Diceros bicornis minor: one gene and its partner. The protein of the gene in region 1 purifies or fractionates together with the protein of each later gene. This does not show direct contact. Links are inferred from orthologs where the notes say so. Each region holds a gene or a part of one and is shown on either strand. Other genes may lie near its edges.

Evidence for each region.
Region 2: the proteins of IKBKG (region 1) and USP10 purify together in Homo sapiens (affinity purification with western blotting; 3 studies listed by BioGRID and IntAct, with this or other methods). This does not show direct contact. The link is inferred for Diceros bicornis minor from reciprocal best matches to the Homo sapiens genes IKBKG and USP10.

The regions. Positions count from the first base shown.
Region 1 is NC_080781.1:138,464,720-138,472,555, reverse strand, and holds the start of IKBKG (NF-kappa-B essential modulator), read right to left. Parts: upstream 3,026-7,836; 5' UTR 2,474-3,025; coding exon 2,471-2,473; intron 1-2,470. Other genes in the region: G6PD (glucose-6-phosphate 1-dehydrogenase), read left to right, coding at 3,655-3,766, 4,636-4,763. UniProt on the Homo sapiens protein: Regulatory subunit of the IKK core complex which phosphorylates inhibitors of NF-kappa-B thus leading to the dissociation of the inhibitor/NF-kappa-B complex and ultimately the degradation of the inhibitor.
Region 2 is NC_080771.1:33,698,252-33,705,728, reverse strand, and holds the start of USP10 (ubiquitin carboxyl-terminal hydrolase 10), read right to left. Parts: upstream 3,006-7,477; 5' UTR 2,995-3,005; coding exon 2,950-2,994; intron 2,670-2,949; coding exon 2,601-2,669; intron 1-2,600. UniProt on the Homo sapiens protein: Hydrolase that can remove conjugated ubiquitin from target proteins such as p53/TP53, RPS2/us5, RPS3/us3, RPS10/eS10, BECN1, SNX3 and CFTR.

The DNA.
Region 1 (7,836 bases):
TGAATGCAACCTTATTTGGATAAACGGTCTTTGGAGATGTAATTAAATGAGGATCTTGAGATGAGATCATCCTGGAGTAGGGTGGGCCCTAAATGCAATGACAAGTGTCCTCATAAGAGATGGAAGAGGAGATCCAGACACAGAGGAGAAGGCCACGTGAAAACAGAGGCAGATACTGGAGGGATGTGGCCACAAGCCGAGGAACACCTGGGGCCCCCAGAAGCTGGAAGAGGCAGGAAGGGTCCTCCCTTAGAGCCTCCAGAGGGAGCACAGCTCTGCCAACACCTTGATTTCAAACTTCTGGCCTCAAGCACTGGGAAAGGAGAAATTTCTATTGTTTTAAGCCCCCAGCTTGTGGTCATCTCTTACAGCAGCCCTAAGAAATTAATAGATCTAGTCAGAGGGGCTTTGAAGAGACCACGCAGAATCTGATCAGTGTTCCCTGGAACTGGGGGGCCGAAGGGGACATCTAGTATCTGACATGTGCTAAGTAATCTGAAAGTGAGAGCTGGCCTCGCAGACTAAGACAGCAGAGCAGAGAGACAGGCTGTTTGCGTTCTCTTCTGAACTAGAATAGAGGCAGCCCACGTGGGACAGCACCAGCCTAGAGCCCTTTTAAATCCTGCCCAAGAAGACTGACTACCTGGAGGAGGTGGACAATCCAAATACAAGTTTCCAGGAGCAGGCCTGAGCTGAGGAAGGAGACTTTGAACACTGAATAAACTTGGACGTTTGACTATGACACTGATCCTCAACACCCCACTAACCCATCAGCAGTATTTAACCAACCACTGACCCCTCCCTCAGCTTACAGAACAGCCCACTCTCCTGGTTTTCCTCCTACTTCACTGGCTGCTCCTGCAGTGGATCCTCCTCATCAACACATCCCTTCACGTTGTGGTGCTCCAGGGCTCTGTTCTGGGATCTCTTCTCTAACTACAGTCACTCCAGGACTAATTCCATCCAGCCTCACAGCTTTAACCCCCATTCTAATGCTCTTGATGCCCTAAAATTAGACCTGTTTCCTGGACTCCAGACTCACGTATCAGACTCAACATCTCCACCTGGGCATCTAGTAGTCCTCTTAAAACTAACCTTTTCAACACTGCACTCCTGCGAGTCCCCCAAAGCCAGGACCACCCACAGCCTACCTTACTGTCAGCTGGTGGCCAATCCATCCTCCAGTTATCAGGACAAAAACCTCGGAGTCCTTCTTGACTCCTCCCTCCCTCCCTCCGTCCATCCCCCTCTCCCTCTCTCCCTCTCTCCCTCTCTCCCTCTCTCTCTCAGCTCACATCTAATCCATCAGGAAATCCTGTCAAAATGTATCCCAGGGGCCAGCCCCATGGCTTAGCGGTTAAGTGCGTGCACTCCGCTGCTGGGCTGCTGGCAGCCCAGGTTCAGATCCCGGCGGCGCACCAACGCACCGCTTCTCCGGCCATGCTGAGGCCGAGTCCCACATGCAGCAACTAGAAGGATATGCAGCTATGACATGCAACTATCTACTGGGGATTTGGGGGGAAAAATAAAGTTTAAAAAAAATGTTAAAATGTATCCCAGAATCTATTTGATGACACTAAACAATTAATGTTAACTATTTCAGGTGTGAGAGTGGTATTTTAGCTATGATTTTTTAAATATTTTCTTAGAGATGCATACTGAAACACTGTCAGGTGGTGTCTGAAATTCACTTCAAAATAATGGGGGAACTCCTAGGTATCTATGCAAAAGAAATGAAAACACATGTCTACACATGAATGCTCACAGCAGCGTTACTCATAACAGCCAAAGAGTGGAAACAACCCAAATGTCCATCAACTGAGGAATAAACAAAATCTACTACATTCACATGGACAAACATTGCAGAGAGAAACAATTCACAAAAGACCACACAGTGTGTAATTCCATTTATATGAAATGTCCAGAATAGGAAAATTATCTATAGAGACAGAAAGATTAGTGGATGCTTAGAGCTGGGGGAGACAGGGTGATGTGGGTGATAGCCACAGGGTACGGAGTTTCTTTTTAGAGTGATGAAAATGTTCTGGAATTAGTAGTGATGGTTGCACAACTCCGTGAATACACTAAAAACCAGTGAATTGTACACTTTAAATGGGTGAATTGTGTGGTATGTGAATTATATCTCAATAAAATTGTTATTGAAAAGAATAATGGGAGACAATTGTGAGGGATATAAATTAAAATTAGCCATGAGTTGGTAACTGTTGAAGCCCGGAGGTGGTTCCACGGGATTTACCATACTAGTCTTTCTACTTTTGTGCATCTTTGTAAATTTTCATAATAAAATGCTCAAAGCACCATCAACTCTCACCTGGATTACTGCAATAACCTCTTAACAGATCACCCTGCTCCTATCCTTGCCTACTACAGTCTGTTCTCCCCACCGAGGCCAGAACAATAAGCCTAAAAAGTAATTACGATCACGTCCCTCCTCTACTCAGATCCATACCATGGTTCCTCATTGTCCTCCATGTAAAAGCCAGTCTCTTTGACGGCCTACAAGGCCCTGCACCATCTGGTCCCCCACTGCTTCCTCTCCAAGTATTCTCCCCTTGCTCACTCTGCTCCAGCTTTTCCTCCAATGTGCCACGACGGCCCATTCATCCTCAAATCACAGAAATGGTATGAGATTCGGTAGACATTAATCGTTTTGCAAAGTGAGCAAACTGAGGCACATGAGGTAAGATACTTAGCTGCCAAACTATATTTGAGGTCTTTCTAAAGAACTTAACAACCTCAAATACAGTCAAGTTTGATGAACAGAAAATATCTTCGAACTAGAAGAGTCACCCACGAAATAGGGGTGTGATCAGACTCCACAGCGGCGGTGGAGGGAGAGGCAGGAACAGTCCTGCTCACCGCCAAAGAAACCTGATCCTGCATCGCCCCGCCTTGGCCGGTGCTCTAGATGCGGGTGGCAGAAATGGGCGGGGGCCCAAAAGGAGAGAAAAGCCTGGACGTCCGGGAGAGTCTCAGAGGCGGTGGAACGCCCAGTGATGGTACCCTGCCTTCGGGGAAGAGGACCACACCTGTCAGCAGAATCGGTCCGACGTGAGATGGACAGAAGCGACAGGCCACGAGCGCTCCTCGGGCCCCGTCCCTCCGAGAAAGTCCCAGTTCCGCGGTCGCCTTTCCCTCCTCCCGCTGCCGAAATCCCCACTTCCTGCTTCCGGTGTCGTACTGTGGGATCCGGAAGTAAAACAGGGAAGCCCCGCCCCCGCCCAGGAGGCCCGCGAGAAGTACTAGGGAGGCTGCTCCAGAGGGAAGCCCGAGCCCACCAGTCTCGGTCGGCCTGCAGGAGGCTCCCCAGTGATATCCACCACCTGCTACTTTTCGGGGCGTCACGACCCACACTGCCCCTTGTCCCTCGGTCTACAGCATCCAGCCTCCGCGTGCTCGGCTGCCTCGGCCCCGCAAGGGGAGGAGCCACGACGAGGCTGCCCAACAGGGCCGGTCTGACCGAGCGGGCGACCGTCCGGTGAGAGGGCGGGGCTCAGATGGCCCCGCCTATAGCCTGGGTCAAGGAGGCGTGGCCACGCTGCCAGCGGAAGTGGAGCCTTCCGCGAGGGTGTAGGGCCGCCTGGGGCCTGCGAGAAAGCCGGCCTGTAGGGGCGGGGCTGAGCCGAGCCGGTGATGGGGACTCGGGCGAACGGCGCGGAGCTGCACGCGGAACCGCGACGCATCCGGGACGCGGCTCAGCGGCGGCGGGTACAGCAGGCGGCCCGCGGCCGGGCGGCCGGTGCAGGTGCCCAAGAGGCGGGGCGAGCCAAGGGCGGGGGGGCCTCGCGCGGGGGCCAGCCTGGGATGCGCGCGCACTTGCCTGCTCCCTCACCGGGCCCCGCCCCTGGAGGGAGGGGCCTGTGGGGGCACCGCCCGCGCGCCTCGCCTGAGGCGGGTCGGCTGAGACCAGGCGCCCGCCCCCGCTGATTAAGTGGGCCGGCGGGGCACAGCCCCCGGAAACGGCTGAAACTCCGGGGCTGCGAGTGCGACGGGCGGCGGCGGTAAGGTGCAGGTAAGGGAGTGGGCGGGCGCCGCGCCGGCGGAGGGAGGGATGTGCGGCACCTTAGGCCCTTTGATTTGCCATGCTTGGGAGCGGGGGCAAAACCGAGACGGCCTTAACCGATCCCACTGCCCCCCCTGCATCCCTGCCGTTGGAACCCTGAGGAGACTGAGATCTCGAGAGGACTTGCCAGGGTCTCAGCCTGGCAGAAAGAGAGCTGGAGCTGCACTCCATCATCTGCACGGTCTAACATGCTCCAGCTCATTGTGGAGTTTCTGCCTGAGTCCGGGGTGCGATGGACCTAGGCAGGTCATGCGATGTCCAGCAGGGTTTTGCTTGGTCCCTCAGAATTGAGGCTCTAGCTGGAATCCACTAGGGCTTTGGGCAATTTTGTATTGTACACCGTGAAAGAAGGCTGCTTGGGGAGTATGGCTGAAGCCCAGAGCCAGCAGTTTCTTACTTCCCAACCATCCTGCTCCCTGGCCATTCACAGCGAGTGGTTTCAATAATCAGGCGTCAGCTGGGTGAGAGCCCAAACGACTCCTCGAGAAAGGGGCTATCTTCTCAATGCTCTGATGTTCTTGTGCCTTGTCAATGAGCCTTTCTTCCACCAGAGAGCATCATGGCAGAACAGGTGGCCCTGAGCCGGACCCAGGTGTGCGGGATCCTGCGGGAAGAGCTGTACCAAGGTGATGCCTTCCATCAGTCCGATACACATATCTTCATCATCATGGGTGCATCGGTGAGTCTCCCCGAGGACCATCATCTTAAAACCCACACTTAGAGCATGACATTGCTTAAGGTCCCTTCCTGCTCAATGCCTGGGCTTTCCCAACTGACTGTTGTTGGGCCACGTGGGCTCTGCTTGGTTGGGCTCTCCGTCTTGCTCCTGCCTGTGTGCCACTATCATCCCAGCACCATACGGTATATACACGTTAGGAGGCATTTCCGAAGTCCACGCACAGCCATTGACTATATACATTAATAGGACAGCCATTGACTGTCCTGGAGCCCGGAAGTCCTTCTCCACGGAGAACACTGAAATGCAAACAGGGAGCCTAGTCATTCTGTGAGTGTTTTTCTCAAACCTGTTTGTGACTTGACAGATGTCACACAGTGAGTTAGTTCCAGAGGCAGGTTCTGAGGCCCGATCTCCACCTTGTCTTTCTCTACCACATCAAGTTCCCTGGGGACAAACACTCGACCTTTCTTTGAGCATTGTCTCTTTGCCCCATTTTGCTCTGATAGAGTAGAAGCACAGTGACGGTTTGTGATGGCAAGTGGGCACAGGAGAGGGAGAGTGGGTCCTAGTCAAGCCATGACCCTCAGACTAAAGCACTTCCCGGCGTACCGTGTGGAAACGAGATTTGCCAGGTGGCCAGACATGTGCAGGGGCTGCTGAGATGAGCTGCCAGGGTTTCATCTTGAAGAAAAGTGGTTTCTTCTCACTTTTAACCCTGGACATGACCAAGAACCTGCTAACCATTGTATAATCACCTCTGCCAGTAACTTACTGTGTAATCTTGAGCAAGAGTTCCACCAAAGTTAGAGAGTTCTTGACAGGGCAGGTCTTATCTCTCTGTGCCTACCACAGCACAGTCCCTTCAGCTCTGGAGGAACTTGGTTCTTTGTTCATATATCATAACCTGCCACCACCCTTTGCAGAGTCTACTCCCTGGAAACTTTGGGATTCTGATCCAGACTTGGAAAAGGAGAGCCAGAATGCAGAGCAGGAGGCAGTACAGGGTAGAAGGACTCTGCCAGTAGGAGGGAAGGGAGGGCTGCCCCAAGCAGTGTCTTCTGATGCCCTGTACCCAGGAGGAGCAGACAGGGGACACGCTTGGCCTCTACCCTGGCCTCAGCCGCATCCCCTTGGAGGAGCCATACCTCTGTTGGCCACAGACCTTAACACCTAGGACTCTGACCATTAGGTCCTTTGTCCAAGAAATAGGTTGGTAGAGAAAGTAACTCAGGATTATTTTTCCTCCTTCCCTCGTCTCCATGCCAGCCTATCACAGGATGCTCCTACAGAGCATGCCAGGCCGCAAGAAATGGCGTGTGACTCCAGGCCCTCAACTCTTAAGTGCCCCATTGAGAGCATCCAAGCTTGCTGTGTGACCTAGGGCAAGTGTCTTCCCTTCTCTGAACCTCAGTGTTTCCATAGCAAACCAGGGCTTTTGAAACAAGTGCCGAAGGTCCTCGGGCTCTACCAAGCTGATTCTGTGAGTCCTCACTGCCTTTGCCTGTGGCCAGCTTGGGGTTGGGCAACTTTGTTTCTTTGCAATGAGTAGGGTTTCCCTTTGCTCTCCTTTGCTCTGGAGTGACAACCGGAGGCTTCCAGAGCAGAAATGGGAAGTGCTGCTCCAGCAGGGTCGAGTGGGGGAGAGCAAGGGTTCTCTGAAGAAGAGCCTCCTTGTTTGTTTTTCCCTTCTACTCCAGGGGGCTGGAGAGGGTGGGCCGCCCACGCTCAGGCAGCACCTAGAACAGCTCCCACAGTCTGGCCTCCACTGCCTCACTGTCTCCTTCGTCTGGGTAGGAGGTGGGCAGAGTAGTGCTGGGGGCGCACTCTACCAGAACCTGCTGCTATGGGAGACCAGTGAGGTCTCTCTTCCTCCATCCAACAAATGCTGACCAAGTGCCTCCCCTGCAGCACAGCGAGCATGGGCCCTGCCCTCTTCTTGGGGCCTCTGTGGTGGGGGCCAGGACCTAAGGTGAGTTAGCCTAAGAAGAGTTCAGAGTGGAGCATGTGACAGAAGACGCAGACAGGATCCTGTGTCCCCAGCCCCCCAGCACACAGGTCTCATGAAGAGGGCCTGCAGAGAGGCCTGCAGAGCCAAGGCCGGCGGGGAGCACACCACACAAAGGGAAGAGCAGACACAGAGCCCCAAGTGGGGCAGGCTGGGCCCACGTGGCCATTCTCTGCCCCTTCCTCCTCCTCTTCCACTTACCCAACCCTCAGCGGCACGCCCAGCTTCCTTCCTCAGGGCCTCCTGATGCTGGCTCACAGAGTTACCCAATGGGCTTTGAGCTGCTCTCTGTTCCCCCTGCTATGTGGCCACTTCCGCCCTCCTTAGGACTCCCACCCCCAGCCAGGAAGGGAGTGGAGGTACTTACTATCCTAGTCCAGAAAGCCTTGGAATGAAGGAAACCGGTTTCTCCTTACAGACCAGCATGGGGGGAGGAACCTTGGGCCTGGCAGATCATGTCCTCCCCCATCTGATAGGACTCGACCAGCGGGCTCAGCGATTCTCCCCACCTCAGGGAGTGGAGAGAGGAATAGGAGTGAGAGAAAGAGAGACCAGGACTGGGAGTCCACTGGGCAGGATTGACTCCCTGCAGGGTCCGCAGTGAGCCCCTCGCCTCTCTGGGCTTCAGTCTCCCCACTTGGGCCACAAGGGCTATGGGCTCGATGGGTGCTCAGGCCCTCCCTCTCCTCCGGACGTTTCTGGGCTGCCTTCCCCCTTGGGCTGATAAGATTCTTGCTGTGTCATGATGACATTGGCACTCCCCCAAAGGCCTGGTGATTCGTAAGCCCCAGGGTGTAGGAGGGAGGCCCTTTTCTTGGTTTTACACCCGAGCCTACCTCAGCAGACCCTAGGTTCTCTCGGTCCAGTGGCCGGGAGCCAGCTGGGTCCCAGCCAGGGCCTAAACTCCATCCTGGGAGGCTGGGCGGATCCTTGACACGAGTGACCCTAGGGGGACTAGGGTGGCCCACCCCTGCTGGGCAGCCAGCAGTTGGCAGCCAGCAGTTGGCAGCCAGCTTCTTGAGCTCTTAGCCACATTCTCCGCCTTAAAACCCTCATAGATGTCGGCAG
Region 2 (7,477 bases), on another chromosome or scaffold:
TAACTGTTAACATCAATGAGCACAAGAGATAGAGATGACGCTGAACTGAATTTACCCATTTTCTAAAATGAAATGTAATATAAGCTTTATTTTCTTTGATTTCCTTCTTTTTCCTAAAGTGAAGGAGAAGAAAACAAGTAACAAATCTTTCCTACATCTGTATAGTGTAAATACTGCTTTCAGTATGTTCTCATTTAACCCTACCTCCACAACCCTAAAAAAAAATTTAGAATTGAAGCAGTCAAGGTGAAGAGGGAAGGACTTGCCAAGGTCACATGTAAGTGGCCCACTCAGACCCCAACCCTGGCCTTTGACTCCTATGCTAAGAAGTCAGCTTCTCCTACCCCATTTTATCAAATAACAGAACTCCCTACATAAATATTTAATACATGTGCCAACAGACAACTGTGTATCTCTATCAGGGGTTCTAAAATTAAGGGATCTAGGGCCGGCCCCGTGGCTTAGCGGTTAAGTGCGCGTGCTCCGATGCTGGCGGCCCGGGTTCGGATCCCGGGCGCTCACCGATGCACCGCTTCTCCGGCCATGCTGAGGCCGTGTCCCACATACAGCAACTAGAAGGATGTGCAGCTATGACATACAACTATCTACTGGGGCTTTGGGGGAAAAATAAATAAATAAAATCTTAAAATTAAGGGATCTAAAAGTTAACTAAGATTTAACTTGATGTACTTACTTCTCCCCCCTTTTTTCCTTTTCAAAGCAATTTAAACAGTTTTCATATTTAAAACATAAAGCTGAAAAATGTTCCAAATAAGTTTTTACTAAACTAAAACAGAAACCATTAATCACATAAGGAGTGGACATACAAGAAGACCTCAATGAATGGAGAAATACACCACAATCATGTTTAGAAAACCTATCATAAAGATGTTAATTCTCCTACAAATTATCTATAATTTTAATGCAATTTCAACTGAAATTTCAATAGGATTTTTCATGAAACTTGACATACTGATCATAAATTCCTAAGAAAGAGTTAAGGATGAAGGAGAGCCAAAATACTTGTAAGTATAAGAAGAGGGTGTGTGTCCTACCATCAGACTGATTATAAAGCTGAAGCAATTAAAACATGGGGTATTGATACAGAGATAAAGCAAAAGGCCCACACAACAGGGGACCCACAACCAACTGAGCATATATGGAGATGTGCGACCTGACGCGGGGGCACTACAAATAAGGGCTGAGTTCTCAGTGCCACTCACACTGCCATGGGGGAGAGGAAGTTAGATCCCTACCTGACACACACAAATCAGTACCTCAATTTCAGTTATATTACATACTAAAGTGAAAACAAAAACCTTAAAACTTTTAGAAGAAAACAAATGTCTTTATTACCTCAGGGAAGAGAAGAATTTCTTAAAGATATTTTATTAAAAACCAAAAATCCACAAACCATGAGGAAAAAAAAAATCAATGTATTTGACATTATAAAGATAAAAATGCACTGCCCTTACCCACCAAAAAAAAGAAAAAAAGCATCACATATGAAGTTTAAAAGCCCTCATGCCAGGAAGAGATACCCATAATATGCAAAACCGAAGATTATTACTCCTATAAATCAATAAGAAAAAAGATATGCCATTTGATAAAAAATACGGACAAGGGATACAGACGGGATAATTCATAGAAGCAGAAGTCTATACTGCCAATGGACATATGAAAATAATGAAATAGTGCTCAACTCTTTGTAATCTGGGAATGTAAATTAAAACAATGAGAATCCATTTATTACCCATCAGGTTAACAAAAATTTTATATATGCCTATACTGAGAATTACCAAGAATTAAAAAAAAAAAAATAAGATCAAGAAAACTCTTGTGCACTGTTGATGGGAACGGAGACTGTTAAAACCACTTAAAAAGAACATCAGCTGTCTCTAGTAAAACTAGAGACAGAAATTGCAGAACCCAGCAATTCCATCCCTAGGAATATATTCTGGAGAAACACAGAGGAGCATGAGGAGACATGACAAAATATGTTTATCGCAACATTTTTGTAATAGTGGAAGAACTAAAGACCTAAATGGTCTTCAACAGAAAAAAAGGTAAATAAATCATGGTATGTTCCACCAATGGTATTTAGCAATTAAAATCAAAGAACAAGAACAAAATGTATCTGCATAAATAAATCTAAAGAATACGTTAGCTTAAAATAAAAAACTACAAAATGATGAATATAATATGAAACCATTTATGTGACATTTTAAACCACATAAAACAATACAACGTACTATCTGTTGCTACACAACACAGGTATATGTAATAAAAGGCAAAAACCATAGCCAGGAAAAAAAACTTACCAATTTTAGCCGAGTTGTTATTTCTGGGGAAGAAGGGAATGAGACAGGAGAGGGGTACAATGGAGGCTTCAACTGTATCTGTAATGTTTTGCCATTTATAAATATAGCAAAATGTTAATATTAGTCAAATCTGGTTGGTGGGTTCAGGCATTTCTCATATTAGTCTCTGCACTTTTCTGTACACTTGAATTCTTTATCAAAAAGCATAAATTAATAAAAAGTAAAACAACCATTAATTTTATCTACACATATACTCAACAAAACAAAGTTTTGTCTTACCTCAACTGAACAGCGAGGAGTCACAAAGAACTGATTGAATTCATCAGGGCTAAAATCTCCAAAAATATACTGAAAAAAAGAGAATCACTGATCACATAAAATGCACAAATTATATACTTTTGGAAAAAATGCTATATATTATAATAATCCTATGAAATATTTGGGCCAGAATCCCCAAGACCCTTTCTCGGTTAAACAAAACAAGGGTCTGCAAACTGAGATTTCTAGGTGTAGTATTTTCCAATTACAAACATGAAAATACTACTTAGCCTTCTCCATAAATTGTCAAAGAAAACTCAAGTTGATAAAGCTTATTTTGAAATAGGTCGATTTTGTACACCAAACTTACAAGCAGAGTCCTGCTTGCAGGAGAATTTTTTTGGTTCACAAACATTTCCAGTTGTTCCATTTACCTTTCTGCTGACTCATGTCATTACCTCCTTTTCAGTTTTCTCTGCCATACATACTAAAGAAAAGCAGAAAATGTGGTTCAAATGGGGAGATAGGGAAATCCAAAAGAGCAAAATGTTAATGATCCTGATGAATGATCTTTAAAAATATATGTGATTTTTATCTTAAAAGTGTACTGGAACATGACGCACAGATAAACATTATTCAATAGACACAAGCACAGTTGTGAATCCTCATTTCAGAGAATTCTAAATGTGACTTGATGGAAAAACAACTGGCTAAACTACATGGAAGCAAGTTTGGCAACTGCCTAACAGTTCTTCAAGAAATAAGTCCTAGACAAGGAATCAGTATGCCTAGATTTCTACAACAGAAAATCACTCGCTAGTTACTCATTCACTTACTCCATAACATTTAGAGCCTACTAAGTGCCACGCACGATCATTGGCACCGGGGATAAAAATGGTACAGCAGAGTTGTGATTCCTCCACTCTAATGGAGCCGATAGTCCAGTAACTTGGAGGGAAATCTACAAGCATGTGATTCACATATAACCAATAGCTTATTATTATACAAATGGATAATACCCACTATTACCATAAATGTGAATAAATGGCAACTAACTCTCGTACCCTATCGGTAAGAAGGCACTGATATTTCTGGGGAAAATATTTCTGGAAGGCTCTTTGGCAATAGCTACCAAGACTGTAAATACAGATTTAAAACCAAAATATCTTCATAAAATATTTACATATACTTCCAAAAGTCCACAAAGAAACTGTGCACTGATAGTAATGGTGAAAATAAGGAGAGTCCCAAAACAATCTAGAAATGGTCTTCTGAAACACTTTCACTGTGAGCTCAGTGAGCTTAAACTGTCTTATCATCTCCAACCTGGGGGTAAAGCTTATATTAAAGTCACTTAGGCACAACACCAAGCACTGGAAGGGAAAGGTATCTTTTAAGTGAAAAGGAAGCAGAAGAGAGGTCAGGGTGAGGTGTGTGTGAAGAAATGACACTGCTGACTAGTATTCTTTACAGTTCCACGGCAGATAAAGATCTTTAAGTCTAGATGTAAACCTTAAAACTTAGGAGAAAATTAAAAAGACAAGCCACAGACTAGGAGAATATATGTCTGACAACACAAGTGCCAGCAAGGACGTGAAGCAACTGGAACTCCCTACGTGGCTGATACAGATGCAGAATGCTACAGGCACTCTGGAAAAGAGTCTGGCAGGTTCTTATAAAGTTACTTACCATACAACCCAGCAATGCCACTCCTAGGTACTTATCCAAGAGAACTGAAGACCTATGTCCACAAAAAAACCCCGTATGCTGATGTTTACAGCAGCTCTATTCATAACCGCCAAAAGCTGGAAACAACCCAAATGTCCATCAAGTGGTGGATGTGGTAGTCTACACAACGAAATACTACTCAATGACTCTAAAAGAGCATCATGCTAAGTGAAAGAAGTCAGACTCAAAAGGCTACAAATGTTGTTTAATTGCATTTATATAACATTCAAGGACAAAATTATAGGCACAGAAAACAGATCAGTGGTTGTCAAGGTCTGGAGAAGGTCTGATTAAAGAGGCACAAAAGAACTTTTGCGGGTGATGAAAATTTTCACAAGAGAATCCTGCTGGAGAAACAGCAACCACCTTAACTGCCGAGGAAACACACCCACTAAAATATGATTTCAGCCCTCATATATGAATGGACAACAAACAATCACAAGACATGTGAGGGGTAAATTAGGGGGAATTAAAATTACGGGAAAATGATTGAGTAAACAGAACACAGAAACAGAAAAGAACTTAAAAAAAATTCTGATTTGTATCCTTAAAGCAATTCTAGCAGGTAAAATAAACAGAATGCCAAGAAAAAGGACCTACTAGAGAACAAGGAAGTGTCCACAGAAATCAGAAGATTATTAAATTTAAATTACTAAATTTACAAACTCAACAGAAGGTCTTAACAGCAGAATCAACAAGACTAGAAAACAATGGAGCAGTATTTTGAAAGTTCCAAGAAAAAAGTATTTTGTTCCTAGAATTCTAAAGTATTTTGTTTTCATAGAATTCTATTCTATTGTGAAGATTATTACTCAAGTGCAAAAGAAAAACAACATTCTGACACCCCTACACTCTTTTGTTGGAGTGGGGTGGGGAGGTGCCTGCTTAAGAATTCCAGAAAAGGAACTCAAGAGACACAAGAGTGGTAAACAGAGAAGGAGACCCAGGACACTGCTGACACTGTAGCTGTGAGGTCTAAAGAAAACATGAAGAGTCACTACACTGGAATCACGCTGTTTTATTTAATACCAACAGCAGAAACGTTGCAGTAAAAGATCCATTTTATCTTCTCTTACGAATGGTAAGGAAGGACTCTACTTTAATTCAGAACGTGGGGAAGACATAAGGATGAAAACTGGAATGTTCTACAGGATTGTTAAGCTATTTTCTTTAGGTAGCTTTTCTTCTTGGAAAAATAAAAATGAAATGCTCATTTAACACACACTTCTAAGCACATTCTCTTACTTGAGTACACATACAGTCTAAACTCTTTTAAAGAGAGAGATCTGGTTAACCCAGTAAGAGAACTAAAATTCCAAATGATTTAATAAAATCTGGTCAATAAGAGGGAGAGGGAGGAGGAAACGTGACTCCAAGCTACTCGCACACAAGCCTTCCCGCCTGCATGCAGGCCCCGGGGCCCAGCGCTAGTCCAGTCCCTGCGCTAGTCGGCTGGGCTGGGAGCCAACCCACAGCCAACCACTGGAATGCTTAGAAAGGTTCCAGAAAAGACTTCTTCTATTATTTTCAATTTTACTATTTTTATTTATTTCCAAAGTATTATTTAAAAACGTTGCTATAGATTGTAAATGTGCTTTTCTTACAACTTCATGTCAATAATTTCTCCACAGATATGCACCTTCAATCTGCTTACAAGAGTCACTCACTGGGGGAAAATGAGGAAGAGCTTGACGTACAGATCCGGAGAAACGTCCAAGGTACTGTTAAATGAAGAAAACATTCTTGCTGTAAAAAAGGGAGGAAAATAGAAATATCTACTTGTGTTTGCATAAAGAGATATTGGAAAAGGAACCCAGGAGAGGATGCAGCCGTCTACCTACTCAGAGCCATGGGGACCCCAAGTGGGGGGAGTGGAGCGGGAGGGAGATTTGTTAGTTTGTATCTTCTCAGAGTTTTTAGTTCTGAACCATATTAATACCTTATCTATTCCAAAAATTAACTGTAAAAAGTCAATGTAAACAACAGAAATCATTGTACAACTATTCAAATATACCCATTTTGCAGAGATGTTATAAGTTTGCACCTGTGTTAGTTTCAAGATCTCACTGACAACAGATTAGATCTTGATGAAAACATTTAATCCAAGAAAGACACCATAAGCAACTGCTATCAACTATGCAATGCCAAAATATCATTTAACACTTGACAGTGGCTAGCCAGAGCTGTTTTGAACTCCAAGTAATTTCCTTAACACTGGCTCACATATATTAATAGACAACCCTGACAAAATACACGAGTCACATCCTCTTGCCATAATCAGATCTATTTTCAATCCTCAAATGCATAAATTTTTGAAAGTGAGCAGTTACACTTCACCCAATATAAAAAACAGCTATTTCAACTTTGTCACAGAGTTAAAAGAGGGGATCGCTAAGAAGCTGGTACCAAGGATTACGAGCGTCTCTGCAAGGGGTTCACCACCAGGAGGTCTGGTTAGGATTTCCATTTCCTGTAGAATGAGTATTCCCCATACACTCACGGCAGATAAGCTACATGTAGCTTCTTCCTATGTGTCCGCACACATATTACTTATTCTCAAACAGGAATCAAATGTAATGCAGTAACTGCAGACAAAGGGAGGCTTGATATCCGGGGAGCTCATTCTCAAAGGTCAGAAAAGGCCAAGTCCCTGAGGTCTCAGGCTAGGGGAGGCTCATGAATAAAAGGGAATTTCCTACCACCAGAGTGCGTGTAAAAAAAGGAAAAACATTTCTTTCTAGGCCTCTTTGGTAACCGTCCAAACATTCATTCAGAATGATTTCATAAAATGTCCCATATAAACTTGAGGCAATGACATCATTCAGTGCTTAACAAAACCATGTGCCTCATTCAAAATGATTACAGGAAGTATACTATGAAGAAGCATTTATTATCCACACTGTTTCATAAAGGCAAATACAAGGATGGCTTATAAAATAAAATTTAGCTTAAATAAATTTATTGGGAGAAAACAGGTAATTTTTTGATATCCTGATAAAACTACAAAAGCAAAGAAAAGGCCAAATATTTACTCAGTAGTAAATCCCAGTGAGTGGACATAAATTACATTGCCCTGCATTTTAGTGACAATTATTTAACTAAAATTACATCTGACTAAAGGCTGAATCAACACAAGTGTTGTGACACTAAAGAGTTTATCACAGAAATTC